Linked DNA regions of Nothobranchius furzeri. The protein of the gene in region 1 purifies or fractionates together with the protein of each later gene. This does not show direct contact. Links are inferred from orthologs where the notes say so. Each region holds a gene or a part of one and is shown in the gene's direction. Other genes may lie near its edges.

Region 1 (5,280 bases):
AAAAAAGTCAAATATGGGCAGGGGTCGCGTTAACTGGACATTCTCCGTGTTTGACCGTTTATTTTGACAGAAAAATCTCAAGGCTGCTGGTCATTCTGGCTAAAATCACCAGACGCATACGGGTGAGTAGACATTTTAAACATCACGCACAGAGATCATTGCGGAAGATCTATCAAGAAAAGATTCCCATCAGAACATCTGAGCATTATCTCAGACCTGGACATCATCAGCGCAGCTCTCTATCAGCTCCCTGAGGAGCTGTGAGAACGGCTCGGAGCGCGTCTGTGTCACAGGCCAGCAGCAGGTAAAATGTTCCTACCTTAAATTAAATTGTTTAATTGTAACATTAATATGTTGCTGGACACGCTGTTAGTTTGTTTAGACTAAATATTAATAAAAAAACGAATGAAAGTTAAATAGTGAATTTTTATGTGACAGAATGAAATGACTGTTTCCCCGTCTCCTCTGACACAGGACCAGTCTGCATGAGATATGGTCTCAAGGTCTCATGCATTTGCTTCTAACCTGCTTATTTTCAGCTCAACAGAAGAATGAAGAATGGACTATTTTCTTTTAATTAATCAAAGAACTCTATTTTAATAAAGCTAATCCAACAAAGTGTTAGTCAATAAATATGATGTGACCGATCTGTGAAATCAAAATATTAATTACTTTATTATAATCCTATAGAATATAATAAGTAATATGTATATATGTGTATATATATATGTATATATATGTATATATTGTGCCGTCGACCCAAGTGAGGCCGGTGTTCGGTCCGCCTCTGATGACAGTTGAACACGGTTATGACATTCAGGTAAAATCAGTAACCGAATAACGAATCGAAAGCAAACTTCTGCCATTAGACTTCAGTGTTGACATATTCATCCTTCCCGTTCGAAACTAACCGTAAGTTGATTTAGTCTAGAGCAGCTGGACAGTAGCTGGAAAAATGCAACCAGATGTAACGATCAGTTAAATGACACAATCGGTAAACCAAATTGAACATTGTCAATGTTTTAATAGGAATTTCTTGTGATGAACATCAAGTGTTGGTGGTATAGTGGTTAGCATAGCTGCCTTCCAAGCAGTTGACCCGGGTTCGATTCCCGGCCAACGCAAGTCCATTTTGCAGTAATTTCTTTTCTGTTACAGAAATATCCTGCAAAACAGCACAGGGTGCAAATACGCAGTCTAAATTACGGAGGAAGGGACAACGTCTCATTATAGTAATTTGGAATAACAGAGATAAAACATCAAACAGTTATCAGAAAATCATTGGTAATATGTCACCTATAAGCTGAAATCTGTGAAAGATCCCATATTAACCTCTTTTGCTGTTAACCGTTATTATTATGAATTTATTCATTATTATGAATGCGGATTTCCTAAAACTGCTTCCCCATCTTTAAAGCTTTTCTCAGTGACATGATCATTTATAAGCAGTTGATCTGAGCTAAAGCCCAGCTTGAGTAACAGTCTACCTGGTGGAGAACTTCATGCTACCCTAATTACTGCTTTTCTAATTAATTGTATTTAATTGGTTTTAAGTAGTTTTGTTGATCGTCTCGTCTTTGACCGTAGCAGGACCCTGGACCTCCGGTCAGCAGGGGGCGAACGGAGATCACGGGCGGAAGTAGCGGAAACAGCAGCAGCTAGGCGGAAGTACCGGTGTGTTTTTGTGTGACTGAACGAAACAGCGCGGGTTCTCTTCTTAAAATTCTTACCACGTGTGTCCAGCTCACGGTACCGAGACTCAACGGAACTCCGGAACGAGTCGTGGCCCGTTATGGCGGCCGGAAGCACGGCTCCTCCGCAGCTCGGAGACGTAGAAGAAGATGCGTCACAACTGTTGTTTCCCAAAGGTGACGACTACCGCCACCGCAGACCTGTGTTTGATACACCAGAAACGTGTGTGTGTGTGTGTGTGTGTGTGTGTGTGTGTGTGTGTGTGTGTGTGTGTGTGTGTGTGTGTGTGTGTGTGTGTGTGTGTGTGTGTGTGTGTGTGAATATAAAAAGGAAGTAGTATAGAGATCAGCTGTTTTAATTTCTGGTCCAGAGTTCGAGAACGCTGAGACCCTGCTGAACTCCGAGGTCCACATGCTGCTGGAACACAGGAAGCAGCAGAACGAGAGCGCCGAGGATGAGCAGGAGCTGTCCGAGGTCTTCATGAAGACCCTCAACTACACGGCCCGCTTCAGCCGCTTCAAGAACCGGGAGACCATTACTGCCGTGCGCAGGTTCGCCTTTCTTGCTTCCACTGATTTTCTGACCACCTTCTGGTTGTGACAAATCCACCATTTCTCCTCCAGTCTCCTGCTGCAGAAGAAGCTGCACAAGTTTGAGTTGGCTAGTCTGGCCAATCTGTGTCCTGAAGCTGCAGAGGAGGCCAAAGCCCTGATCCCCAGGTGAGTCAGGTAACCCACCTGGGGACCCACTGAATTATCTGCTCAAGGACCAGATAATTTAGGTGTTTCCAGGATTTTCCGTTTCAGAGGCGAATAAAACGATTACATTTTCTGTCTAAAACGTTTAATTTATTAGTAGGTGAAGAGCATTTCAAGCAATATGGCAAAAACACTTTTTTGAGACTCTAATTGATGTTGGTAACCATATTTATATTAGGATCTGAGAATGTTATCTCTGTAGTTAATTTTAGGGTTAATGTGTTGTTATTTATCTTTTGAAAGTGTTTTCTTTGAACAGCTGGGTTTAAAGCTTGTGAACACGCATCCTGCTCTGAGCAACAGGAAGTTCTAAACATGGAACAAGCTTGTTCCCATTCATTCTGGGATTTGTACTTAAACCCGGTCGCGTGCTAGCTCTACACAGCTTCATAGTAAAGCACTACAGATGGAACCGGTTCTGGTTCAGTTCAGCCCACATACATGTGGACCGGGTCAAAGACCAGGATCTGTGTAGAGAACTGAAGTTTCTGTCTGAATAAAGTTGGGATTGAATCTGTTTCCAGTGTGGAGGGTCGGTTTGAGGACGAGGAGCTGCAGCAAATCCTGGACGACATCCAGACAAAGAGGAGCTTCCAGTACTAAGACCAGAACCGACCCGCCGTGCTCTGCGATAATTTCTGCCCTTTTTTTGTTTTTGTTTGTTTGTTTCATGTTGGTTTTTACTCCTTCAAGTTCCTGACACCAATCCATACTAGATGGACAGAAGAGCTGGATGAAACCAACAGAGGAACATCTGCTTCCATGTTGTTTCCTGTTGGACCAGGTTCTGTCCCGTCAGCGCCTTGTCACACATTGACGCAGTACACTGCAGCACCCGTCTCCTCTGGCTCTTGTATTACTTCAGGCAAAACCCCAGCAGATGTCCTCACCATCTGCATCGTGTTCCTGGTAAACAGGAGCTTCTCGTAGTTCATCAGCTGCCTCCAGAACCCGGCGTTGGGTCGGATGAATGGCCGGCTCTCCAGAACCAGTTTGTAAGCCTGACGCAGGCTGAGACCGGTACCCCTAAAGAGACACATACCAGAACCATCAGACAAGTGTTAACCTGAGTGAGTCCCAGACAAACAGAACCAAACATAGCTGCACGGCACCCCCTGAGACCCCAGAGCAAACTTGGTGCTTCAGCTTGTCTTGTCTGGATTTCTATTGCCCTGAAAATAGGATGAAAGTATCCAGTGGTTCACGATTAGCTTCCAAAGTAAAAAAAAAACACCTTTCATCACACCTTCACAGTTTAGAGTGACACTGCACATCCAGGACCCTTATTTTGATTGATGTAGAGATCGCATAAGGAGTTTAATCTTAGCCTTTGTGTTTTTTATGACATTGAGCCAGCACAGCTAATGCAGTGGTGCAGATTGATCTATGTTGTATTTTGTTGTGCAAAACAGAAAAATAAAACCAGTGAGGTGGGTGTGAGTTAAAGAGCTTCCATCGTGTGTGTGTGTGAGGTCAACGCTGCCACCACCATCACCAACCAGGAAGCATAACGTGTAACATTATTAAAATATGGAGAAAAACCCGACTACGGCTGTAGCCGATTAAAGCAGGGATGCACAATATATCGTAACAGCCGATGTTAGTGATTTTTGACATATCGGTATCGGTCCGATGACTAAAGCTTGGTTTATGCTTGACGCATTTACTTTCCGCTTGGTGATGCGGCTCGCGGATGGAACGCGCTTCACAACTCGCAGCGTTTATGGTTCATGCGGCTCGTCTCTGCGGTGAGCCAATATTCTCCCAAACTGTAGGGGGCAGCATGGAGCTCTACGGCATGCATCCAACACTACACCATAGAAGTAAAAACTCATGTTGTTTACAACATGGCATTCCAGCATTTTTTAACAGCGTCCTCGTCTTTTCCGACAGTGTGAGCTATTTCTGTCCAAGAATTATTAACATGTTGATCACGGTGACCTCTGAGAGCTGAATCATACAAATGTCTGTATTTATGAACCTCTGCCATACTAGTTCTTGCCGGTCCGCCATGTTTTTCCGCGTCCGACCGTCCGCGTGGTTAGAAATTTTCCTGGGTGCGCGGTGCAGAAAGTTTGGGCCGGGTGGAGGGGCGTGGTTGTTAAAATGACGCAATTTAGCCACGCGAACCTCGCGGACGTGTCAAGCATAAATCAAGCTTAAAATTGGGCCGATATTAACAACTTATATTTTTCCATTTGCTTATCTTTTTTTTTTGGGGGGGGGGGTATTTGTTCTGTCATGTGACAGTCATTGTAATCATCTCAGAAACGTAAAGGTGTGTGGTGTTTGTAACGAAAATTCAACTTTAATAATTTTCATTCTACACAAAATCTGCTGATTTTAGACACATTATTGTCTGTATATTGATATCGGCCCATATTGATTGTCGGCCACAACAGTGATATTAATATCAGTATTGCCGCATCACTAGATTAAAGTGTTTAAGCTTTAAAAATAGAAATATAGACATTTGTTTTTTTTTATAGATTATCTACAGCTAAAAGGTCAAACGTGTTCTCAAGAGACAATGAAGGATTTAACAAATCTCACGCCAGGAAGACCGTTACCAACAGGACTGACGGAACCGAACACAACACAATCCAGCACGTCTGCTGAATTTGTTGATACCGTCAGAACCTAAACCGGAATCTTTGAAGGTCTTACCTCATCAGGTATGCCATGATCAGAGCGGGTGAGCGGCTCCTGCCTGCAGTGCAGTGGACCAGAGTGGTTCCTGTTTGGTTCTGCTGGATCTGCTCAGCTACAGAGTCAAAGTAGAGACTCAGAGGGGCATGAGGTTCATCCTGGATGGGGACATGGAGGACCT
Region 2 (4,821 bases), on another chromosome or scaffold:
CAAATGCTACGGGCGATGCCTGAGCGTGAACGCGCATGAAGCAGCCTGCTCGACCCGAGCATCTCTCTTTTTCTGTGATTTTACAGAAAAACAGGCAATCACAGTAAAAATGCCAGGGCTCATTCTACAGGACCAGGGCATTGCAGGAGAACGTATGAAGAAGACATTTATTATTTCTATACATGTTTTGGCTGTCACACTTCCATAATGCACCTTTAACTAACATCTATTGGTGAGCGTCCTATTCACCACACTTTACTGGTCAGACCAACCCACGAGGAATCTGGTGTTCTGGCTGTGTCCTGCAGACTCCTCCTGAAGTGCTCCAGCATGTAGATTTAAAGACTCATCACGTTTTTATCCTGCGAGCAGCTCTATAGCGCCTTCTAGAGTCCTGGAACCCCCCAAGGCCCTTTACAACACAATCAGTCATTCACCTATTCACACCCTGGTGGTGATGAGCTACGATGTAGCTACAGCTGCCCTGTTAGGGTTAGGGGTTTGTCCACGTTGTTCTACGTGGGGGTTTCCACCCAGCTGGTGCCAGAGCCGATGCTGTGCAGGTTCTAAGCTGGTTCTTTTAAAGAATCGGTTCCCATCCCACAGACTGAGGACTTAGTTGCTGCTGTCATGATGTCGACCAAGTCTTAGGTGAGTTCTTGCTGTGTCGTATTTGCGGCTGCCGCAAACGAAACGTAGCGCAGGTAACAAAACTGTTCTGTGTTTTAAAAGAACTACAGCATGGAATGTCGACCAAGTGTTGAGACACACCCACATATACGCCTGCATGAGGACAGAGCACGTCTTTCTTGACTTCTGATTAACAACGTGTAACAAGAAATCTATAGAAACTCCATAAATAACTCAGAATAGAGTATAATCCCTCCGAGGGGAGATGTTAGCATAACGACAGCCATTAATTCTATTCAGTTTATTTTAATAGAGCCAAGGCTCTTCACACAATAAACATCCCAATCCAGGTCAGGTCGTTAAGCCAATCAGTAACAAGTTTCCTGTCTGAGGAACCCAGCAGGTCGCATCGAGTCACTGACTAGTGTCAGAGTCTTTACAGCAATCCTCATACTAAACAAGCATGCAGCGACAGTGGAGAGGAAAACTCCCTTTTAACAGGACTCCAGAGGATCCTGGCTCAGTATAAGCAGCCATCCTCCACGACTCATGACTCATTTCTGCTCCTTCAGCTCCACAAGGGAGAGGCACTGACAGACGTTTTGCATTCGTGCCGCCCCGTCCGCTGGGGATTGGTGCAAAACAACTCCCCGCCAGCACAACAGAGGGCAAAGCGCTGCGCTGAGCTTTGCTTCCACCATTTCAGTCACGTATCCGGTCCAAGATGGCGTATCTACTACTGTGTTTACATTGTTTTAATGTTTTTCTGAGACTTTTAACAAATTAGTCCCCCATACGCTTCTTTATGCGATCGGCACCTCTAAACTCGCGTATCTCGTCATTTCTGTCCACGAATAAACGTTCATATTTTCACACTTCCTCCACTACGGATTCTTCAATTTGTTCCGTGTCTGCCGCTAAATATCTTCTCACTTTTTGAGGGAGCCCAAGTCACGTCCATCTACGTCCGGACCCGGGGTCGCCGGCAGAATGAAAGAATGAATGCAAGAAAACGCTGTTTTCTAACTGCCTGTTTTGTGCCGTGGATTTCACACATGATGTCCGTGAATTTTAAAGATGCAGTTTGACACCAAGAAAGAGCTTATTTTCAAACGGGGCCAGCTCTGGGCCAGATCCGAGTGTGCTGAGTTTGGTACTTGCATTATTTATTAATGCTTCATCGGACTACAGACCTTCAGTGCAACAGTTATTGTGTAGAGGATCACAGCGTAGGGAGACAGTTCATCCACATAGATCTTAGGCTCGTTGTTCCTGAATGTAGATGTTTGAGTTTTATAGACTTGGGCTTTTGTTTGCAGAAGCTCATTTTACATCTCTGATGAGTGTTTGAAGAGGACTCACTCACAACCGTGAACTATAAACACCAGCTGGTGGTGCTAAACAGCTGATGTTTATCATTGAAGACGGTGGCTGAGGTAGCTCTAGGTGCTGCTCTGAACCAGCAGCAGGACGATGGAAGACGCCGGAGGATTTTGTCTTTACATTAATAATCAGAGTAAAGGTGAATCGATGGGTGTTTCTCACTGTCAAGGGACCTTGCCTTGATGTCTTGGCCCCGCCCCGGTTGCCTAGGAGATACGTCATCAGGAGCCGCCAAGACATGTTCCAGTCGGTTCCAATGTTCATGTTCTACCGAGGCGTTTGTTAGCCGTTTAGCTAGCTGAGCAAGGACACACGGGAGGTGTCTTGTAGCCTAGCCTTGGTCAAAAATTACCCAGAATACACCGCCATATTTTCTAAAGGACGGCGGATCAGCAGCCGGCAGCTACTTCAGGGACAATTTTCAAGTTTAAAAGTAAGTCAGCTCATTTAAAATGTTTTTCCTTTTAGATCCAAAGAAGTTATCTATGGTTGGTTAGTTGCTTAGTAGTTGCAGCTTCGGTGGCTAGCGGGTAGTAACTCACTTATATGTTTAATTTAATAAACATATACACAATTTAAAAACTCGTTATATATTTATATTGAAACTATTACGTATAAAATATAACGTTATCTCCCGTGTCACGTGACTCTACGTGACCGCCGTGGAAGCCGCGGTCACGAGATGCAAGTCTGTTCCATTTAACCGTTTTCTTTGACCAAGGAAGGACCGTGTCCTCGTGAGCAAGGCGCCTGGCATTGAGAAACACCCTAGCTTAGAGGTTCTAAATGCTTTCATTGGTCGTTGGTCTCCCTGACCCCGCCCCCAGCTTCTGAAACATGTTCGATAAATAAAATGATAATGAGAACAAACATGAATTATGTTTAGTTATAAACAATGGTGTGTGTGGGTGTGTGTGTGTGTGTGTGTGTGTGTGTGTGTGTGTGTGTGTGTGTGTGTGTGTGTGTGTGGGTTTGCGTGCGTGTGTGTGTGTGGGTGTGGGTGTGGGTGTGTGTGTGGACACCCCCCCTTCCCCCTCCCCAGTGGGCGCTATGGTGAGGAGGTGATGCTGTTGGAGAGGAGCCTCAGAGAAGACGACATCGAGAACCCACAAGCTTCTCCTCTTGAGGACCGTCCCGGCTCCCAGCAGATACCTTCAGGAGGTGACCACGGCGACGGCAGTGAGCAGGAGTTTGTCTCCAGTGTGCTCTCCCAGCAGCAGAGACCCAGGGTGCACTGGGGTGACCCCCCTAAGCCCTCAGATGAAGGAGAGCTAAGGAGGAAGCTGAGGAGAGGACTTCAAAGTGAACGTTCCAGGGAAACGGGAAACTCAAAAGAGGAAGAAGAACCAGAAGAAGAGGATGAAAGAAAAGAGCCAGCTGCTGAAGAACTAGACACTTCAGATTCTGGTTCGTCTCTTTGTGAGGATCAACATTTACCCAAGGACCGAGGTGTGAAAGAGGCCAGAGGCAGGGTGAAAGGGTGTAGTTTATCAGAGATGGTCGCTTCCACCAGCTCTCTGTCAGAACACACACCTTCACACACCTCTCCTCCTCCTCCTCCTACAGGAACAGAAACCCCAGCAGAAACCAAACATGGCCACCACAATGCAGCTTCATCAAACCAACCGGGTCTCAGCATCACCCAGGTGGGCGTGAGCAGGAGAGGAGCGGTCGGGCTGAGAGATCTGCTGAAGAACCACACTGGAGAACCTGACTCTGTTCCACTGAGTCTTCTCAAGTATCTGAAGAGAACGCTGAAGGAGTGGTGCACCGAGGAGACGCTCAAGTTCCTGTACGGTGCTGGTCATTCACTGGTCTCCACTTCCTCTAGTGAAGAGGTAGAACAGGAGGAGTTAGATGAAGATGATCTTGAGGATGAGGACGACGTGATGGTGGCTGAACAGAAGAGGCCCTCGGCTCCTGTACCCGACTGTAAGACTCTCCAGAAGGAGACTGAGCAGCTGGAGTTCAGAGTTCGAGAGTTTTACAGAGGGAGGTGGATTCATCTGGAGAAGGAAGAGGAGGAGAACAGGAACGAGGTGAGGAGGAGAAGGGTTGGTGTGTTTCCTGGTAGTCCACTACACGACTCACTGTTAGGATGATGACCAAAACTCAGTTGGCCTCAGGTTAGCATGTAGGTAATGTCCCGCTGATCTCCAGCTGTGGAGAACGAGCTGATCAGAAAGGCCAGGGCTCCCGGTCATGTCATTTGGAATCATAGTATGTCCAAGGAAGGTCTTTGTTGTGATATGAAGTTTGTATATTTATATACTGCAATTAAATAATTTAATTACCTGATCTTGTATATTTATACAATCTACATAATTAATCAGAAGTGGTCGTTTTTATCATCAGGGAGTTTACTTAAACACTCTGTATTGACTGAGAGACAAGAAAGAGAGAAAGTTGGGATCGTTTAAGAATCTTTAATTTCTATAATTATAAATTCTTACAATCTACCAGGACTATCTCAATGATGGATGCATATGGATGTAGATGGTTCGGGTTGGTGTGTGTGTGTGTGTTTTGTTCAGAATCTCTAGGCTGAGTAGCGAATCTGGTTTGTTTTGACTAGGCTACCACGAGGCTTCAGAAGCTGATGACATGAGCCGCCATTTGCCGTATTTACGTACCCAGTAAGAGCCTCCCGTGTAGATCAGGAATTGCCAGGTCTCGGACCTTCGGCGATACTGGAGCTGGTTGAAACAGCGGTCACAGTAAACAACACCCGTCTGAAGGGTCGACTCAGGTGAAGCGGCAGGCGTCAACAAGTTCACTCTTATTTTGAAGGACCGTCGTCTCGTTGGT
Region 3 (5,318 bases), on another chromosome or scaffold:
GTGTAGCCCCGCCCTGTGTCCAGTCTACACTTTCGATATGGAATCTCTGCAGCAGAAACCGGCATATGCAACTTTTGTTCATTTCAAGTAGGGTTCACTTTTGCCAGGTGGAGTTCCCCTCTTGGTCTAATGACACAAAAGCAAGCTAGCAGTAGCCGGTCACATCTGTAATAATTAAGATGAATTCCCATATTTAGCCGTCATGCTTCATACAGTTTCAGGTGTCTTTTTTCCTGTTTGTGTGGCGAGATGGGCTGAGCCCACCCACCTGTGTGACCAGGTAACAAGTACGGGGGCCTGCAGCAGCCAAAAAATCCCTCAAAACTACCATGAATCTTTCGCTACGAACAAATACGAGTGAACACTCGGATTCCAGCAATGCTTGCTCTCACAACTCCATACGGCTTCATCAACGTACGTGCAACAGATGTGCTGACGTCATCTAATTGGAATGTCATGATTTGTTTTTGTGGTCAAGGAAAAATGATCAATGGGACACGAAATACGCGTGAAACACAACAAGCATGCCTGACTTTTGTGCTTCTTATGGATGCTCTAATAGACGATGTCTTCAGTCACGGCAACGTGTCATTCATACGATTTAACAATAACAAACATTCAACTGTGTTAGGCTGATAAGTCTCTGTCATCTGCTTTGCTTTTGAACTATTATTCATTCAGATAGTGTAAAAAAAACGCTCAGTGGGGTCAGCTCTGAGGAAGATCGCAGACACAATCAAAAGTGTCAGCAGGTAAAAAACCTTCCCCGTGTTTCAAAAAGAACCTAAAAAAGCGGTCAGAAGAAAAACACAAAAGATGTTTGTAGTCTTTAGAAAAACTGCTGGCTCATCAAATCCCCCTGATTAATAAATACAAGGAATTAATGCCACACTTACTAATCATGATTACTTTAGGTAGACAAACTGTAGTTCTTGTCTGATTTCTCACCTGACACCGTGTTGTTCTATAGGCTTATGTAAAGTATGAAGACAAGCACACTGTCCAGTTACATTAGTAATTGTAATTTCAGGATTTGTTGTGCGGCGAGCCATGACCAAGCTGTCCTGTGATGTCTGCCGTGCCAGCCTGGTGATGATGCTGCATCTGCCTGTGATGACCAGAGCTACATTTGCTGTCTCTGCAGAACAACGGGGTCTTGTGGTCCCATCTGAAGGTGCTGTGAGGGTCATCAGAGCAGCAGAGTGGGCAATTCGCCAGGCATCAGTGGGCAGACGATCACAGCCCATCAAACCACTGGAGGTCATCTACATCGTGCACAAGAGGATCGGGTCAGAGGATGTGTTTTTGCTCGGGGAGCTCATCAGTGAGACACCGTACGGAACTGAGTGTCACTCCCGTACACTGTTGACATCTGTTGTCTCCCTGTTCTTTAAGCTGAGGATGCACCACCTTGCAAGATTAGCCACTCGTAGCTTTCAGTGTGACAGCATGAGCCAGAAGCTCTCAAAAGCTGTCCTTTTCACAGGTCCGTAGGAAATCACAATGTGCTTTAGCATCTGTCTTAGATCTGTTATTTTTATAATCACAAACATGTATCATCTGTAATAAACAGGTTTTTCATAACTGTCAGTCCGTCATTCAGTCCACCAAGTTGCTGCATAAATAAACTTGAATTTAATTTAATTTAAACGTTTCATATAAAATCGGTCAATCAAATATTTACTGAAAAACAACTCACAAAGTTTATATTTAAAAACGTCACTGTGGTCGGGATGTTTACTTGGTTACGTACGAACGTGATGACGTAGACACATCGTATCCCAGCATGCAGCAGGAGGCCGTTGAGGCATCCAGCAGTTGGTAGTGAGAGGAGGTCCGAGGCAGCAGCGACTCCGCTCCGCTCACATATTTCCGACTCCATGTGAGATCAACTCAGACCTACATGCGACAGAAAGCATGCTGCTCGGGCGCCCGACGTGTTCCCGAAGCGGCTTCTGAGTCACCCGGCTTTCGTTTTGGAGGATTCCTCCCTCCATCTCCTGGATCGCACCGAACAGGCAATGACAACGGTCTCAGCAACCCCGCAGCAGATGAAGGACCGGCTGCTGCAGGCCATTGACAGTCAGAGCAATGTGAGCAATGCTAAAGCTAACGCTAGCTTGTTTGCCTATCAACATCCACGCAGCTGTTCGGGTGGCACGTCGCTGTTTATACAAACTACGCTGAAAGGTGCGCTCGGCCTCGACACGTCGGATGTCTCGGTGACAAAAAGGCTCGGGGCGAGTTGACAGCTAGCATGCCAGCTAATTTAGCAGCAGCGCTGCGTTGATTGGACGGATATCTGCCGTTATGTAGCCTGTTAGCTGCTAACGTAGCTTAACACCAAAGCAGATTTGGTATAAAGGAGCAATCCAGTCGTTGTTTTACGAAATCATCTCATCTAAAGAAAAGTTTAAGTTATCCCAAACAGCACAGTTTTAGTGAAAATGTTTTATTTAAACAATCACAAAGTTTAGGGAACCAAGTGGCTGGAATAGCGTTGAGGAAATGCTCCTTCCTTCTAAAGTAAGTTAAATGCTAACTACCCTGACTAGCTAACACAGGCAGGTCCACCGACTCGGGCTAGGGCTGACGCTGTCGACAAGATGCTCGGTTTGCTCCAAGTTCATAAACCTTTGCTGAGATGATTCCAGGTATTTTTGAGTGTCTCTGTGCCACATCAGCTTTGCAACATCGTTCGGTTTCTGGAGCTAAACATCCAGCTGAGTTTCTCCCGATGAACATGTTGTTTTCCACCCCGGAGTCAGGGAGCAGTTAGTCCAGATCTCTGGAGTTCCTGTTACTGTGGGAATGTGATTGGGTGGGATTGTCCAGTGTGATTACATTTTCATCCACAGACTACAGCTGTAAATCTAAATATTACTGCCACCAGTAGAAGCTGGGGGTTACTAACTGCTGGCATGTCCTTGTTGCAGATATGCAACATGGTGGTTGTATTGGAAGTGATCGCTTGTCTTGAGAAGTATCCGATTACCAAAGAAGCACTTGAGGTAAGAATGAACGTGTCATAGGCGGTTAATGCCTACAGAGGCTGTGGTGCCAAAATAGTTTTCACTTTTTAATTATTTATTTTCAGGAAACTCGACTTGGAAAACTGATTAATGATGTAAGGAGGAAAACCAAGGATGAAGACCTTGCAAGGCGTGCAAAGAAACTCCTGAGAAACTGGCAAAAACTGATTGAACCTGGGCCGGCTGTTTCAGCAAGTGTCCCGGGGTCTACCAATGGCAGTTCCCATCCCTGCAAAACCGATCCCTCTCCCCCTGACATTTCTGTATCGGGGAAAGCGGTCACAGAAGTCACAATCCGAAGTGATGCTCACAACACATACTCGCCTAAGGCTGAGAAGTCAAGTAACCGCAAGCGGCGGGCAGAGCACAGAGACAGTGGCGTGTACGTAACAGAAAAAATCTCCAGGTTGTCGGCGTTTGATGACTCTGTTTCTCCGCCACCCACCAACGGGACTGCTGGTGGTGCCGATGCGTTGGCCGACCAGGAGGTCGTTCCTTCTCCTGACAGGCCTCGGACAGACCACCTTGAAAATGACAAAGGAAACAGAATTCCAGTTAATGCTGTCAAGCCCCGTCCCAGCTCCCCTGGCATGGCCAAAGCACCTAGCACTTCCTCGTTGATTAAAGTTGCTGTGATGCAACAGCAAGCTAAACTGGAAGAAGGGGGCGGGGGCTATTACCCAGCGAGGAGTCCCCGCAGTCTCACTTCCAGTCCCAGGAGCCTAAAGCAAGACCCCGTTTCTAAGCGTTCAGCGTACGTAGCAAAGGGAACGCCGGTCCCCAGCCCATCTTCTAGAGACTCCCCCCTGTTCTTCTCCCAGCCTCTGTCCTCCCCAGCACCGGTGTCTCACAGTGAAAAACTTTCTTCTCTTCGGTCTTCAGTGCCCTCTGCTAATTCATCAGAGGTATTCTCTCATTGCTCTCCCCAAGATCTATCTGCAACACTGGATTCCCCCTCCCCCCCGCCTCCCCCGCAGAACTCAGAGGTCCACAGGTTGGTGGTTGAAAGAAGCTTAAGTGTGTCTGATGACCCTGATGGGCCAGTCCTTAACTCTGAGCATAAAAGGAGGAAGTACAGGCCTAGAGACTACTCCGTTAACTTGGATGGCCTGAAACTAGAGGACACGACTAAACCTGTGCGGTTAAAAGAACGCAGACTGACATTTGACCCGGTCACTGGTCAGATCAAACCTCTGGTGCATAAAGAACTTTCTCCAACAGAGGACCCCCCCACTCCGGACCTGGGAGAGTCCAGGCAGAGAACTGAAGTCGTTGTCCAACAGCCCCCTTGTGCAGCCCCCGCCCCAGGTCCCAGCTCAAACCCCTTCCACCAGACCAACTGGAAGGAGCTGACTAGAAATGAAATAATCCAATCCTACTTGAACCTTCAGAGCAACGTGCTCACCTCCTCGGGGGTCCAGGCCCCTAGCGCACACTTCTTCATGTCAGAATATCTAAAAAGGGAAGAAAGGGAGACTAAAGACTCAAATAAAACACACGTTTTGCAGACGGACCATTTAACAGGAGATTTACCAGGTGTGAGTCGGGAGGTGACGGATGAGGACCTGGACAGAATACACACACAGACCTGGCAGGGGGTGAACGGTTGTTACGACACCAAGGGAGCCTGGTATGATTGGACAGCGTGTATATCACTGGACCCTCATGGAGACGAAAGCAGACTGAACATCCTGCCATATGTGTGCCTGGACTGAGGGCTTTAGAACGGCTGCTGGTTCTTTTTCACCTTTTGTCTCGATGGAGACGAGATCCTTTGTGATTTTGTTTGTCTGCTGCGAGTTTGGTACGAGCCCAGGCCGCTCGACTCCCGTCGCCACAGCTCCGCCTGTGAGAGTGTTGAGACTTTGGTATGAAACCTAAAGAGTTAAGTTTTAACATCAAGGGCTGTTTGAGTTTCAGTTTAAACCAAATGAACCACTGGTAGTGATGAAGACGTTAAGAGGACTTGGGCTGGACTAAGCTAGGCTTGCTGGTCTTGTCCAGCCCAGTGTGTCCAGGAGCGCTGGAGCACATGAGCTGCAACAAGAGGCCTCATCTGGACTGAAGGGTGCATTTCTTATCTAAACATCTATTTAGTTCATTTATGGGATGTTTTTCTTCTCCCATCTAATCCTCGGTGACTGATGCAGGCATAGCCGCACCTCTGGGTTGGTTTGATGGTTCTGGCCCGTGGACACACACATCTCGTGTCCATCAGAAACCGTCAGGTGGGCGGGATTAAAGCAGGATCCTCAGAAGCTGTTTAACAGACTTTCATTTGGAGTT
Region 4 (4,821 bases), on another chromosome or scaffold:
TTTACTCCCATTACAGAGATACATCTCCTTTTCATGCCATTTTTGGCTTTTTGTAGAACAAACATACATACACCTCTTAAATCATATTTACTTTCCCTCTTTACAAAAAAACATTAGTATATTTTCCGGCAGAGCCGTAGTAGTAGTTAGTAGTTTTCCTCTTTTCCAACGAGGACGTTAGCAGTAGCTGGGGCTAGCGTACGGCTGCGAGCGTTACTGTCACCAACATTTCTATATTGCAGACACTGAAGTGGGTTTGGGGCGTGCAGATTTAAGGGTGTGTATCTATGCTGACGACATGCTAATCCAGCTTTTCTCCGAACAAACAGTTTCTCAGCAGCCATTACACCATTGTCAGTTTGCGTAGTAAAGCTGGTCAGAGACTTTCTGGTGTGCTACTTTAGACACCTCAAGCTGCCTATGTTCAACAACAACAAGGTAAATGTAGTTTAGAGTTCTAGGACCCCTTTAAAGTCTTCACCATTCTGTAGAAATGATTCGTTTTCTGCATCTGGTCCCTGAAGTTTAAGCGTGTCATCTGCATGTAGAAGCATTTTCACAGAGAGCATGTGGTTTAAAGAGCTGTGTTCAGATGAAGCACTCCGTCCTCAGGCTGCAAAAACAAAATGATATCCGTTAGAGAAATAGCAGGGGCAAACCTGATGCACCAGATGTTTGGCTGCACAGAAGGTCGTGTTTGGAAGCCGCTGGCTAAAGGAAGAGAGAAGACGTTGACTGCTGACACGATGAGTCTGCTGTCGTCTGTCAGTCCAGCATGAACCAGTCAGATGAACCGACCAGATGGTGACTTCAGTTTGTGGTGAAGCCGTTCAGTCGGAGAGAACACATCTTTATTTATTTATTTTTTAGGAAAGCCTTCTGCTTTGTCATTTTTGCTTTTTGCCGTAAAATGATCTTCTGTAAGTATTATTGCCCTAACTATGTTGCAGTAATTCCCTAACGGCTTCCAGGATTAGCTTGTCCACAACAGCCGTGGCTCAGGCACATGGCAAACATGCTTTTATTTTCCGTAAGGAAAGCACATTTCATTTTCAAAAGGATATTATAGTTGAAATGTCGTCGATGCGGTGGAGATCGGTGCAACAGATGGGACACCGTCAGACCTAAACAGGTGATGAGGAGCATAGCTAATGCAGGATTATTTTACAGCACACTAGCAGACCGTTTCAAACAAAAGGTAAAGAATCTCGTCTGGTTTGATCCATTAAAATATTCACAAACGTACACTTTAATATGATTTTATGATTCAGCTGCATGTTAAAGCCCTTCTTGGCGGATGACTGAGATTGGAAATCTTATTTTACTCTCAAACAACTTCAAAATGATGAGCAGTCGTAAGAAAATACCTGACTCCCAATGAGTCAAATAAAAGAGTTAATTGTGAGGTGTTGACCGACAATGATCCAGAGCCTTCAGCAAAATATAAAAGCATAAAGGAAATGAAGAAATTTCTATATTTAATTTGGATTAGTTAATTTTTATTATTATTAGGCATGTCCCAGCTAAAACCACCAAACATATGATGTCAGTATTTCTTTTGTCTACAGTAAATGTTCCTCTCTGTTCTGCCTTTCCTTATCAGCGTGGAGGCAGCTGTAGCTGCTTTCGCCCAGGCACGGGCCCCTGGGATCTATAAGGGGGACTACCTCAAAGAGCTTTTCTGTCGCTATGGTGATGTGGAGGACACACCCCCTGCACCTGAACTGCCCGAGTGGTGCTTTGACGACGGCGACGAGGACGAAGGGGACGATGACGGTAACACGGTCGGTCAGGAGTCTGGCCCCAGCTCCTCGGGGTCGGCCCCTGGGAAAAGAAAGAAAGAGAAGCTAAAGCTGGTAGGAAGCAAAAACACAAATAAAAACTCTGTTACTGCATCCATCCATTGTCTGAACCTGCTTTGTCTACGTAGGGTCGCGCGGGGGGGGGGGGGGGGGGGGGGGGGGGGGTACACCCTGGATAGAGAGCCAGTCCACCGCAGCTCCTTTACTGCAGCTGTAATTTTCATTAAGTTAAAATCAGTCTAATTCATTACTCATGTTTAGTTTCAGTCCAGCCTGGAACATTTAAAGCCCAGCCAGTGAGATAACGAGCTGTTATCGACGGATGGAACGGAAGAAAGTAAATAACTTTCGCCGCTGTGACACATTTGTTTAAAACACATGGACAGAACTTGCATTTGTCACTTTTATTGCACACAGAGCTTATTGAAGAGCTGAATCAAGGCAAATCTAATAGCCGAGAATGCGATGCACCAGACGGATCAGAAGGAGAGCGCCGTCGTCGCTGCAGCAGCTCTTCAGTCTGCAGCTTTCATTAAGAACTACTGTCTGTTGGCTGAGAAGCTCGTCTCGACTAGTCTGAGGCGGTTTGGCTGTGCTGTGGAGTTATAGCCACTGGGATGCTGCTTTAATGGCGTGTGCGATTGTTTTTGTGGTCATCTAAAGCTCCCTCTGCAGCAGCTCTGTGGGACCGTGGAGGTCAGGTCTTCAGAGCATGGTCACAGTTTGTTTGAAAGCTTTTCTCGCTCAGAGATTTTTAATCTGAGATTAGATCCCGGTCTCAGTCTGTTGCACTCTGTTCTAACAAAGCATTTAAGAGGAAGCCAGAATATACTGCTGATGGTAAATTACATAAGGAAGTCACGTAAGGCTAAGCAATTCATAATTATTATAATATTATGAACAGTTCACAGTAGGATGATGCAGCAAGGTTTTAATTCTGTTAAACAAACTGGAGATTTTTAATTATCCAAAATAATTATCGATTATTTATTATCAAAACAAGACCATTTTAAGTTACTGTTGGGATTTTCTCTTTAAATTAACCTAGTTTATTGAAAAAAGGACCAAATCTTTACTCATGGATATTTGAACGATTCCGATTCCAGTTCCTTGTTTCGATTCCGGTTACTATCCGTTCACGATTACGGTTCTTTCAAGAGGCAGGATCCAAAAACATTTCATGTATTAAATGAGCGAGCTAACCACACATCTTATTGATGAAATAATCTGAACTTCAACATGAATTTTAACTCTATGAACAATAACATCACCTTCGTTTAGACAAAAGCCAGCAAGAAAGAAGGAAATGGTCAATTTGTATTTGTATACCGCCTTCTTGGGGCTCAACAACCCCCCAAAGTGCTTCACAACACAATCAGTCATTCATCCATTCACACGCTGGTGGTGGTGATTAGCTACAGTGTAGCCACAGCTGCGCTGGGGCGCACTGACCAAGGCGAGACCTTCGAACACTGGCACCACTGGCCCCTCTGACCACCACCAGCAGGCGAGGAGGGTTAAGTGTCTAGCCCAAGGACACAACAGCAGCATTATTTGGTCGGAGCCGGGATTGAACCAGCAACTTTCCGATTGCTGGACAACCCGCTCCCCCTCCGGAGCTTCTGCTGATCAGTGTTTTTGTTTCTGACCACAACCAAAGTATGGGAACTGAAGAAACCTCTAGGATGAGAGGCAAAATGCTGATAAAAGGTAAATAGTATTAAAGTAGAATTATTTTGAGTTAATTTGATATATTTTCAGTCAGTTTTACTCGGCTCCACAAAAACAATCAGTTTTATTTTTGTTAAAAAGTCGTTGTGTCTGGCAAACCTCCAGAGTCCGGTTACTGGTCAGACGCCCGAACCATCTCTGATTACTCCATTTGATCAGGAGGAGCAGCGGCTCTAACATTCCTCAGCTTCTCACTGAAGGCCAAACATGGCCGCCCTATTGAGGAAGCTGATTCCAGCTGCTTACGGTATCTCCTGCATTAGCTTCTGACAGAAAATAGCTGGTAAAACCTTAGGATTTAAAAACACTGACAGATCCAATCTTGGCTTGCGACGGCGAAGGCTGTTGTTTTAGCATCCAGGAATCAACAACGGCTGTGTCTCAATTCAGGGTCTGCATCCTTCGAAGGACCCAGCCCACTCGGCCGACGTGGGCTGGGTCCTCCGTCGGCCGGGTAGACCGGATGTTAACGGCTGTGAATTTGGACAGGCCTAGCCTTCATGAACTCCCTCCGCGAACGTTCCGTCGCCTAGCAACCGTGGAACCGCTGGGCAGAAGGGAGAAGGAACTTTAAACGATGGAGCTCGACGTTTTATTTAGCTTTTTAACCCCCAGAAACCCAAATTTAGAAAACAACTGCAAAATCTTTTTTTAACCTTTCACATGTTGTTCTAGGAGGCCAGATAAACGGGCCTATTTACACATTTTAACAGCCAATAGTGTTGCAGAACTGAACAATAGGACCTATTAGCAATGTAAATGTAGTTTTAAAAAAGAAAAAAAATGGGGAAGGTTTATTCTTGTAGACTTAAATCTGATGTTGTAATATTACAACCGTGGGTCTCTGGGGGTTAATCATTTCCTTGACTGTTGGAGAGCTAATTCAGAGAAAATACTTTAGACAAGCTGAGCCTGAGCAAAGATGTGATAATAGTTTTTAATACTTTCTAAGGGTCTTAATTTGACCAAAACCAATTTATCACCTTTTAAGACTTTAAGACCCAGCGGATACCCGGTAATATTGAACAATTCTCATTTGTAAACAAAAATAAAATTCAAGAGTTTAATGCAGAACTGATTTTATTTAGATATTTCTTTTATATGTACATGTTTAATCTTTATTAACCATTTTTTTCTAGCAAAGTAAAAAGTTGTCAAAGTTCTCCCTTCTCTCCTGTGCCCTCTGCTGCTCTGCCTCCATCTGCAGCCTCATGTCCTCCCTGATCAGCTCCAGAAGCTGGTCATCGCTGGCACCTTCCCCTGGATGCCCATTTTCTCCAGAATAGTC
Region 5 (4,468 bases), on another chromosome or scaffold:
ATCAATTAATAAAAGATGTCAGATATTTGCTTTTCTATCAAAACGTGTCTGACGCAACATGTCATTCCCCAAGAAGCCCTTCAATCACAACAGTCCTTAGAACAATGTAAGAGTGCAAAACATTTTAAACATTTAAAAAGATTTAACGAAGAAAACAAAATCTGTTTTCTCATTCAACACTTACATCTCAGGCTGTGGGGAAAAACAAGCTCTGCAAATGCTACCAACATCTTAATAAATACTGAAAACCTACAGGACATGTCCAATTCTTGCCTTCCATAGTTGACAAAATCTGTTATGGGGCCATGTAATAGCTTTGAAGGTCTTTGGAGCAACTTTAGAATCAAATATTTATGCTGCTGTTAAAAAACTGCATTATACAATAATTTATCATGGTGGGCCTTTTCAATGATTTGTAATTAATGTCTGCATCTTGATGCATCGATTATTGATTAATTTCCTCAGCTGTACCTGGTAAATTTCTGAGTTTACTGTGGACTTCAGAAAACACAATGGACCAACACCAGGAGAGGACATGGAGCCCAAATCATTAGATATCAACACCACACCTGGACTTGAGGCTTACTCTGCAACTTTTTCATATTTTTACATCGTTTTCTTTAGCCAGTATGTACTAAAATGACCCTTAGGGTGAAAAAAATGTCACTCAGACCCCCACCGCCCCCTGTGGCCAGAATATCACACTTGCAACTTGTCCGGTCCCTGATGGACTTAGTAAAGTGGAACTGACATGCTTCTTTAGCAATGACTTTCTATGGTTTCCCTTCCTTGTGGTAAAAAAGTTATCCGTGCATCCCTAATTTACATAATAGGTCAGATGAATTTTTTTAAACAAGTGACAAAATACTATACTTTTTCAGGATTTTCTACCTGTATTTGTCATCGTTTAAGCCAGGGGTGTCAAACTGAAATTCACTCTGGGCCAAACTGGAGAAACTAGAACAAAGTCATGGGAAAATGTTTATGGATGCAAATGCTTAAAATTTTCTTTATCTTCTGATTTGTGTTGTTGAATGTTTTATATGGAAACAAACCATAGTCTTGCATTAATAGTTACTCTGGAATAACCAAAGTTTAAAATTAACAACACACGGGCAGTTAACTTTGAAATAAAACACATCAGATGGAAACTGAGCAGAAGCCACAGAGTCAAATTTGAGCGTTTTACTACACCGGAGCTCATTTGGCTCCATTTGGAGGTTGCTTTCTGCGCTTTTCACGTCGGCCACAAATAGATTACTGAGCTGTTGAAATCTTGATATTTGGGCTTCAAAGTTGGCAAATTGCTGGGTGCTAACTAAGCAGTCATTTTTTTGTTTGTCTGAGACCGAATCTGTGGTCTCCAGGTCCGCAGCCGTACCCTCCTCGAGACTGGTAGCATGGATGCTGCTGATAATGCAGCAAAGCATTCTGGGATCTGTAGTATTGGCAACATATGCACTGGCAGGTCAGTTCTCGAGGGCCAGGGTTTGACTCCAGTGGCTTAAGCTATAGTTAATCTAAACCTGCATTCTGACAGGTGCTGGGACTTCTGGGCGCTCTAATGAATTAGACTTTGAGGGCTGAGGCTGTATCTCTAAAACCAAAAGTTTAACTTTCATTGTTTCTGATTTGTTGTTTTTTTTTAGCCTCTTTAATCTCACCTGGACTCCTCACTATGGCCTGTAAATTACACGGATCCCTTTCAGCCACGCTCTTTATTTCCACTTTTATAGTGTCTCTTTTGTTGCAGGTATGATCGACTGTCCGGGCACTCAGGACGGCAGCTCTCTGCGCTCTCTGATAGATAAGCCTCCCGTTTGTGGGAACTCGTTCAGCCCGCTGACTGGTGCTCTGCTCACAGGATTCAGACTACATACAGGACCGGTACCACAACACTGATTATGCCTGATAATAAATGATCATCTTATCCCCGTTATGTAACATGTAGTGTTTTTTTTTTTTTCCAGCTTCCAGAACAGTACAGACTGATGCACATACAGCCCCCAAAGAAGAAGAGCAAACACAAACACAAGCACAATCGACCACAGGACCCCCTCCCACAAGGTCTGGTGGCGTGTTAGTGAGGTCAGCTGAAACAAGTGCTACGTGTTTTTCACCACACTGACACGTCTGTTCTGATTTTAGAAACTCCGTCAGACTCTGATCCCAAGAAAAAGAAGAAAAAGAGGGACGATGATCCTGACCGCAAGAAAAAGAAGAAAGACAAGAAAAAAAAGAAGGTGAGAAAATTTTAAACACTAATTAAGTTTCTAGCTGGGCATTAAAAAGATTTAAAATGTTGACTCGGAATAGCATTGTGACATAAGTCGCACAGCAGTTTTGTTTTTTCATCCAGTTCTCAGTATTAATGAGTACACCCCCTTTGAAGAGTACAAATTTAATCAGTAGCTCAATGAACTAAAAAAATTTTCCAGAATTTTAACAAGGCTGGGTTTTATTAAACACTTGCTTAACTCCATAACATGAAATTAAGGCTATTAATATGACTTGGATCACAAAATCTTCAGTTTTGCTAAAATTGGTTTTAGCAAAAAGGAATACACCCCTCAACAAAAACTACTACATCAAGTCTTCTAGGCATGGCATGAACAAGATGGTGACATATTGCAACATCGGGCTGCATGGTGGCACAGTTGTTGCACTGTCGCTATTTCTGCGTGGAGTTGCGTGTTCTCCCCATGCATGCTCGGGTTTCCTCCGGGTACTCCGGTTTCCCCCACAGATCACAACATGCCCTATAGGTTATAAATTGTAAGTCGCTTTGGATAAAAGCGTCTGCTAAATAAATAAACATAAACATTAACATCTATCTTTTTCCATTCTTCAAGAATAACGTGTTTTATAATCTGGATGCTGGATGGAGAGTGATGCTCAACCTTCAGAATTCCCCACAGGTGTTCAGATCAGGAGACATACTTGGCCATTCAATCACCTTCACCCTGTTCTTCTTCAGAAATGCAACAGTAGCTTTAGATGCGTTTTGGATCATTGTCGTGGTGGAAACGTGCACAATGATTCAAATTCAATTCAATTCAAAGATACTTTATTAATACCAGAGGGAAATTGATTGCTGTAGTAGCTCAGAATAATAATAATAATCAAGTCATCAAAGAGTTATTGTATATTACAATGGCTGTTGGCAGGAAGGATCTCCAGTAGCGGTCAGTGTTGCAGCCAAACTGAAGAAGCCTCTGACTGAAGACACTCTTCCGTTGTCGGACAGTCTTGTGAAGAGAATGCTCAGGGTTGTCCATCATTTTCTTGATTCTCTGGAGAATCCTTCTTTGCATTATCCCCTCCAATGATCAAGTGCATGGAGTGATGGCTGCATCTTCTCCTTCAGTATAGAACAGGACATCGTTGAGTTCATGATGCCATCAATGAAATGCAGCTCCCCAACACCAGCAGCACTCATGCAGCCCCACATAAGGACACTGCCACCACCACCACGTTTCACTGTAGGCACCATGCATTTCTCTTTGAAATCCTCACCTTTACAACGCCATAGTTTTGAAACCATTACTTCCACAAACTGTGATCTTTGTCTCATCACTCCAGAGTACAGAGTGCCAGTAGTCTTCATCTCTTTCAGCACGGGCCCTAGCAAATCCTAGGTGTGCTTTTTGTGCATGAGCTTTAGGAGAGGCTTCCTTCGTAGACAATACCCATGTATGCCATTCCTCTGCAGTGTGCGTTGTATGGTGTCATGGGAAACGGTCACTCCAGTTTGGCTTTCTACTGCTTTAACTAACTGCAGTGAACTTTAATGGTGATTTTCTTCAGTCTTCAGAAGACGCTCCTTTTGAGATGTTCACTTCCATGGACGGCCTGGACGTCTCTGTAAGATGGTTGCACTTTCGTCTTTCTTACATTTTTTGGTCTTACATTTTTTGGTCACTTTTGCTACAGTATTCTGACTGATATGTAAAGCTTGGCTGATCTTGTAGCCCTCACCTTTTATGTGTAAATACATTATTTCCTTTCTCAGATTTTATGACATTTCTCTTCCATGTGGAGCCATTGCTGGCAGCATGAAATGGGAAAGGCTTTCTTTAAAGGGGCATTATGGAAGTTTGACAGCCAAAACATTTATAGAAATAATAAATTTCTTCTTCATACATTCTCCTGCAATGCCCTGGTCCTGTAGAATGAGCCCTGGCATTTTTACTGTGATTGCCTGTTTTTCTGTAAAATCACAGAAAAAGAGAGCTGCTCGGGTCGAGCAGGCTGCTTCGTGCGCGTTCACGCTCAGGCATCGCCCTCCGAACCGTTCTTTGAACGTTGTTTCAGCTGTCATCAAGGATATAAATGGTACAGATATGAAAGATGTCACTGGCGCTTTAGCTCGCCTAGAAAGATGTCGGACTTTCGTGCGGAAGACCCGGGTTCGATTCTGGATGTGGACATAGTTAAGTTAGAGTTTCATTTTTACATTAATGGTATA
Region 6 (5,565 bases), on another chromosome or scaffold:
GCCACAGAGCAGGAAGAACTGAAAAAACTGAGATTTTCTGAGCTGCTGGGGTTTGAAACAGAAAACAAGTTCGACTTTCCGTTAACAGGCGTGGCGTTTGAGTTAATGGACACGCTGGAATCAAAAAGTTGGCATTAAACAGATTTCTTGTAGAAGAAGAGGACACTGAAAAGAAATCTATCCCAGGATCAGTTCAGAGAAACTTCTGGAGGTAAAAGAAGATTCTTCATGACAAACTGCATCAGGGTCTGAAATGCTGCAAAATCAGTTTCACTTTGAGGTAAATAGTTTTTGCACCATGACTTGAAAAATCATTGAAATAGTTAGAAAAAACTAAGAATAAATTATAAAAAAAATTGTGGCAACAAAAAGAAACATCACCTTTGATGATTTGCAATTTGTAGTAAAGGAGTTTGTGTTTCCCTGTGATCCTGATTAATGTTGTTCCTCTATTGAGCCTGGGGGAAAGACTAGAGTTCAAGGACCTTAAAGAGCAAGTCGCCCCCAAATCTACCTTTTTTGCTGATAAACTATATAAATGAGTGTCTAGTTGTGCTGCAGACATGTGTAGTCAATATTTTGGCACGTTAGTGCATCTTAGTTAAAATTTAAATATTCTGTCTAAAACTGTCAGTGTTGCACCGCCATGAGGTAAAAACTCTGCGCTACATTTGAATTTCAATCTGCCATCGCTATTGGCTAAGAGGTACGCAATGACATTAGCTGGTATATTATGATGTCACTATGCTGTTGTGAGCCTGTTTGTGTGTATTTGTTAGCGGCTCCGCCCTCTCGGTCTGCCAGGCAACAGCATTTGTTGCATTTTTCAAACATGAAGTGGAAGTAGAGTAAGTTTTTTTGTGTAGGGGGTGACTTGCTCTTTTATGAAGAAAAAAATATGTATGTATATATATATATATATATATATATATATATATATATATATATATATATATATATATATATATTAGGTAAACATGACTGACTGGAATTTTATCATCTTTTTTATTTAATTGCAGTCACAACTGAACTCAATTTACTGTAAACAATGAGCTTAGTTCTGGATCTGATTTGTTTTGGTCTTGTTGATTTTTTTGGTTATAACAGAGATCTCACTCCAGATGAAAACTACATTTGTTTTCCATCTAGTTTGCTGCCTATTGAAAAAAAATCTGTACAGGTGCACCATGGTTTGCATTTTGGTTGATATTTGAACCTCAAATGATAATACACATCTTTTGCACTGATATTTGACTGAAGGTCCATGTGTGCAGATCCCAAACCCATTGTTTTGAATGGAATAGTGTGTATTTTATCAGCCACAGTAAAAAGAAGGCAAATGATCATGAAAATTAGTTTGTTTTAACTCAAAGATCTGGGCTAAAATTTGAGTTTTGGTTTCCGTCAGAACAAATGTCTGGTGATTGGTAAGATAAACACACAGTTACTGTTTGTTCAGCTGGGAAACCAAAAGCAGCCGAGGTAAGACAAACAGCAGCTTTGTAAAAAGGTGATGCTGCCATTTAGAAAATTATTTATTAAGATGTACTTAAACTGCAAGAAGAGCATCCAAACTTGGATTACATTTGTCTCTTTCACAAGGCAAGTTATAATAAATGCATGTAGTTCAGTGTATGCTAGATTTGTAGTTTATGTTTTACAGTCATTTTCTTTCATTGTGAGCAACTGACAAATTATTATACACACAAGCTACAAGCGATTATCTAATTATTAATTTTATTTAATGATTTAAAGTGGACTAAAAGACCAAATCTAATGGAATCGTTTGCTTACAGAGTTGCAGGAATTGTGTTTTTACTATTATTTTTCTGACAATGCAAGTCAAGTTTTATTTTTAAAATGTACTAAATTTATTTTAATTTACTAATGTGGCAATTGTAATGACTGCATCATCACACATGAACCTAAAATGTTAACAGAACAATGGTGTAGTTTACGTTAGTTGCCACTTGGGGCGCCAAATCTCAATCTCCCCATTATTCTCAATAGTTAACAGAACAAGAGTGCAGCACCAGCATTATGCCACTAGGAAGCGCCAAATCCCCCATCTCCTTTTCTAAATTGATAACAGAATACTTGTGCAGTGTGCAGTTCCAGCTTTTCGCCACTGGTGGGAAATTAACAGCCCTCCTCCTTCATAAAAAGTCAATTAAAAAGTCCAGACAGCCATTTTGGTAAACACTTTACATGAATACAATTTTAATTATGTTTTAAGCCAAATAAATTGGGTGAGCAAACAAATATAGAATGATTAGAAACGTATTCAACTCTGTAAAAAGAGTTGTGTGTTCATAAGAGTTTGCAATTTTGTGTTTAGAGTATTTTACAGTGTATTTTGCCTTTGTTTTGCCAGTTCGATAATGCGCGGGTTCTGTCACGTCATTTCTCTGCGACGCACATGTCGAGGTGAAAGTGCAAGCTGCCATTTTTCGAGGCATTTTTTTCATGATTTAGGGCGAGAAACTTAGTTTGTGAGTTGTTTTTTAAATTATTTTTTGCTATTGTCTTTTATACATCATCGCTTGGAACACCTCAAAAAGGAATATTGTGGATTTTTGTGTTTGTTTTACGTAGTTAAGAGAAGAGGAGCTCCAGGGCTGCACTGTTCTGCAGATGGCTGCTTAGCTCGCCTAGCTAACGTTAGCAATCGCTGTAAACAAACAGCATTCAACAAAGATTCAGCAGCTACGCTATTGAAGCATCTTCAGCAAGTATTGGTTAGCTCTTTAGTTCCTTAAGTGCTTTCCTACCGTTAGATATATATATCTGTAACCGGCAGTAGAAAGCTGTCCAATGCTGTAAGTCTACGAGTTTAGCGACACAACTTGAGTTTTGATGACTGGGCGAGTTTCTCCAAAATAGCTCGGAGCTCGGTTGCTTTAGAGCCAGTGGGGGTCAGTTTTAGTGGAATTAGACACTCTAGAACCAGTTGGCATGTCGTCCTTTTCGGAATCTGCTTTGGAGAAGAAGCTGTCGGAGCTGAGCAGCTCTCAGCAGAGCGTCCAGACTCTGTCTCTGTGGATCATCCACCACCGCAAACACTCGGCTCTCATCGTCAAAGTCTGGCACCGAGAACTCAAAAAAGGTGAGATATAACAACAGGATCCTTGTCCGATCATAGCCCTGAATGAAGTTAAAGCTGTTGTAGGATGAGCTGGAGTCACATATTTCAAGCAGATTTTAACAAACGTATTAATAAGCAGATGCTTTTCAATTCTTCCAATGTTTACATCAAACATGGAAGAGAAAGCATAGAAAATAACTCCATCCATGCGGTATATTATTCAGGACGTACAAGTAGTATCAGTATCCATGTTTTGTTTTTGAGTAAGCTCTTGATTTACCGGTCGATCTACTTTCCAATCCTCATTTGTGGTCACAAGCTTTTGGTAGTGACCGAAAGAGTGAAGTTGCAGATACAAGCGGCCAAATTTAGTTTTCTCTGCAGAGTGGCTGGGCTCTCCCTAGGTGAGAAGCTCGGTCATCCGGGAGGGGCTTGGAGTAGACCTGCTGCTCCTCCACATCGAGAGGAACCAATTGATGTGGCTCGGGCATCTGGTCAGGATGCCTCCTGGACGCCTCCCTGGTGAGGTTTTCTGGCCACGTCCAACCGGGAAGAGACTCAAAGGAAGACCCAGGACACGTTGGAGGGACTATTGTCTGTCGGCTGGCCAGGGAACGCCCTAGAATTCCCCTGGAAGAGCTGGCCCAAGTGGCTGGGGAGAGGGAATTCTGGGCATTTCTGCTTAGGTTACTGCCCCCACGACCCGTCTCCGGGTACGTGGAAGACAACGGATGGATGAATGAATGTGCATCAGCTGTGAGAGCTGGGTTGCAATGATGATGAGTTAAGAGTCTTGAAATGTCACTTTTAAGTTAGTGACACTATCAATATCAACATCAAATAAATGTATTTTCTTTCATCTTTTTAACTCCTTAACGGCCAGTCATTTTCTGATCAGAAAAGCCCTTCGCTGCCAACGTTTTTCAGCGTTTTCACTGTTTATTTTTTAAGAGTCACAGAACATAGAGCTCTATGATGATGTCAACACCAACACTACCAGAAGAAAGAGTAGACTCACCTCTTACATCAGGAAGAATCCGCGTGTTTCTAGCGTTATCCGTTCTTTCATAATCCGTTGTCGAATTGTGATCGGCAAAAACTTTTCTGGTTCGCTCACTTTTTTTTACAACAGCGGCCCAAAACGATCTCCTATCACATGGGTTTTCTGCTTCCTGATCACGTGACATATAATGTACATGGATGAAGATCGGCTTTAGAGCTGGGATGTTTGTTCTCACGGTGCAGGAACTCGATCCGACGCCCACACAGTAAAAAAATGCAAATGACCACTTTTGTCGTCAGTGGCAGTTAATGAGTCAAATAGTTTCTTCTTGCAGATTCACTGTAACACAGTCATAAACAAGTTGCAGTAAACTAGATGAAGAGAAGTAGTGATGCACCGGCGCCGCTATGAAATTTTAGGGCCGATACCGATATTAAGATCACTGTTATAGCCGACAACCGATATTTGCCGATACCGATATACTGACATAAACTCATTCACTGCCATTGACGACTAAAGTCGTCATTTGCATTTTTTTAGTTTGAGCTTCGGAACGAGCCCCCGTGCTGAGAGAACAAACATCTCAGCCCTGACGCCGATCTTCATCTGCATACGTCACACGTCATGTGATCAGGAAGCAGAACATCCATGTATTAGGAGATCGTTTTGGGCCGTTCCTGTAAAAAAGTGAGGCGCGAACCGGAAAAGCGTCTGCCGATCACAATTCGATAACGGATTATGAAAGAATGGATAACGCTCAAAACACGCGGATTCTTCCTGATGTAAGAGGCGAGTCTACTCTTAGTTTTGGTTGTTTTGGCGTCGACATCATCCTAGCGCACAACGTTCTGTGACTCTTAAAAAAACTGTAAAAACGGTGAGAAACGCTGGCAGCGAAGGCCGTTGGCGATCAGGAAACAGCTGGCAGCGAATGAGTTTATGCTTCTAAAATCAACAGATTTTGTAAAGAATGAAAATTATTAAAGCTGAATTTACGTTATTATGTACACCCCACACACATTTACTCCTCTGAGATGATTTAATTCACTGCAGGGTTTCACCCAGCGCTTTATAAGCCTGGTGGCCCGCCAGGCTTTGCTTGGCCACCCGCCAGGCTAGGCGCCATGCCCGCCCCCCTCCCAGACCCTACCGTGTCCGCTGACACGAACGGCGCAACAAAACTAGAGTCCTCCATCAGCTGATACTGGTGAGAAACAGCAGCGGAACGTGTGCAAACCCCCCCCCCCCCCCCCCCCCCCGACTCCCGCTCTCACGGAGGAGCGCTGCAGGACGGAGCGTGCGACCAGGCTTAACTCATTTTCTGGGGGAAACCGTGCACTGTTCACATGACTAAACAATTACCCCCCCCCCCCCCCGAAACAGGCAAACAAATGGAGATGAGATGGAAAAAATATTGGTTGTTAATATCGGCCCAGTTTTATTTATCAAACCGATACGATATGCTTAAAAATGACTA

The links.
Region 2: the proteins of polr2d (region 1) and rpap2 purify together in Homo sapiens (affinity purification with mass spectrometry; 5 studies listed by BioGRID and IntAct, counting the BioPlex papers as one, with this or other methods). This does not show direct contact. The link is inferred for Nothobranchius furzeri from reciprocal best matches to the Homo sapiens genes POLR2D and RPAP2.
Region 3: the proteins of polr2d (region 1) and crsp7 purify together in Homo sapiens (affinity purification with mass spectrometry; 3 studies listed by BioGRID and IntAct, with this or other methods). This does not show direct contact. The link is inferred for Nothobranchius furzeri from reciprocal best matches to the Homo sapiens genes POLR2D and MED26.
Region 4: the proteins of polr2d (region 1) and rngtt purify together in Homo sapiens (affinity purification with mass spectrometry; 3 studies listed by BioGRID and IntAct, with this or other methods). This does not show direct contact. The link is inferred for Nothobranchius furzeri from reciprocal best matches to the Homo sapiens genes POLR2D and RNGTT.
Region 5: the proteins of polr2d (region 1) and med19a purify together in Homo sapiens (affinity purification with mass spectrometry; 4 studies listed by BioGRID and IntAct, with this or other methods). This does not show direct contact. The link is inferred for Nothobranchius furzeri from reciprocal best matches to the Homo sapiens genes POLR2D and MED19.
Region 6: the proteins of polr2d (region 1) and rprd1b purify together in Homo sapiens (affinity purification with mass spectrometry; 3 studies listed by BioGRID and IntAct, counting the BioPlex papers as one, with this or other methods). This does not show direct contact. The link is inferred for Nothobranchius furzeri from reciprocal best matches to the Homo sapiens genes POLR2D and RPRD1B.

The regions. Positions count from the first base shown.
Region 1 is NC_091753.1:55,727,134-55,732,413, forward strand, and holds polr2d (DNA-directed RNA polymerase II subunit RPB4), read left to right. Parts: upstream 1-1,613; 5' UTR 1,614-1,792; coding exon 1,793-1,868; intron 1,869-2,062; coding exon 2,063-2,243; intron 2,244-2,315; coding exon 2,316-2,411; intron 2,412-2,518; exon of another isoform or gene 2,519-2,974; coding exon 2,975-3,053; 3' UTR 3,054-3,256; coding exon of another isoform or gene 3,257-3,476; 3' UTR 3,477-3,896; downstream 3,897-5,280. Other genes in the region: dual specificity protein phosphatase 14, read right to left, coding at 3,257-3,476, 5,118-5,280. UniProt on the Homo sapiens protein: Core component of RNA polymerase II (Pol II), a DNA-dependent RNA polymerase which synthesizes mRNA precursors and many functional non-coding RNAs using the four ribonucleoside triphosphates as substrates.
Region 2 is NC_091751.1:71,628,467-71,633,287, forward strand, and holds part of rpap2 (putative RNA polymerase II subunit B1 CTD phosphatase rpap2), read left to right. Parts: intron 1-3,055; coding exon 3,056-4,052; intron 4,053-4,821.
Region 3 is NC_091751.1:71,980,476-71,985,793, forward strand, and holds the start of crsp7 (mediator of RNA polymerase II transcription subunit 26), read left to right. Parts: upstream 1-1,813; 5' UTR 1,814-2,021; coding exon 2,022-2,093; exon of another isoform or gene 2,094-2,190; intron 2,191-2,936; coding exon 2,937-3,011; intron 3,012-3,097; coding exon 3,098-4,747; 3' UTR 4,748-5,318. UniProt on the Homo sapiens protein: Component of the Mediator complex, a coactivator involved in the regulated transcription of nearly all RNA polymerase II-dependent genes.
Region 4 is NC_091742.1:9,448,218-9,453,038, forward strand, and holds part of rngtt (mRNA-capping enzyme), read left to right. Parts: intron 1-1,603; coding exon 1,604-1,856; intron 1,857-4,695; exon of another isoform or gene 4,696-4,820; intron 4,821-4,821.
Region 5 is NC_091741.1:91,561,281-91,565,748, forward strand, and holds part of med19a (mediator of RNA polymerase II transcription subunit 19-A), read left to right. Parts: intron 1-1,753; coding exon 1,754-1,887; intron 1,888-1,970; coding exon 1,971-2,067; intron 2,068-2,148; coding exon 2,149-2,243; intron 2,244-4,468. UniProt on the Homo sapiens protein: Component of the Mediator complex, a coactivator involved in the regulated transcription of nearly all RNA polymerase II-dependent genes.
Region 6 is NC_091755.1:32,651,030-32,656,594, forward strand, and holds the start of rprd1b (regulation of nuclear pre-mRNA domain-containing protein 1B), read left to right. Parts: upstream 1-2,300; 5' UTR 2,301-2,955; coding exon 2,956-3,106; intron 3,107-5,565. UniProt on the Homo sapiens protein: Interacts with phosphorylated C-terminal heptapeptide repeat domain (CTD) of the largest RNA polymerase II subunit POLR2A, and participates in dephosphorylation of the CTD by RPAP2. Transcriptional regulator which enhances expression of CCND1.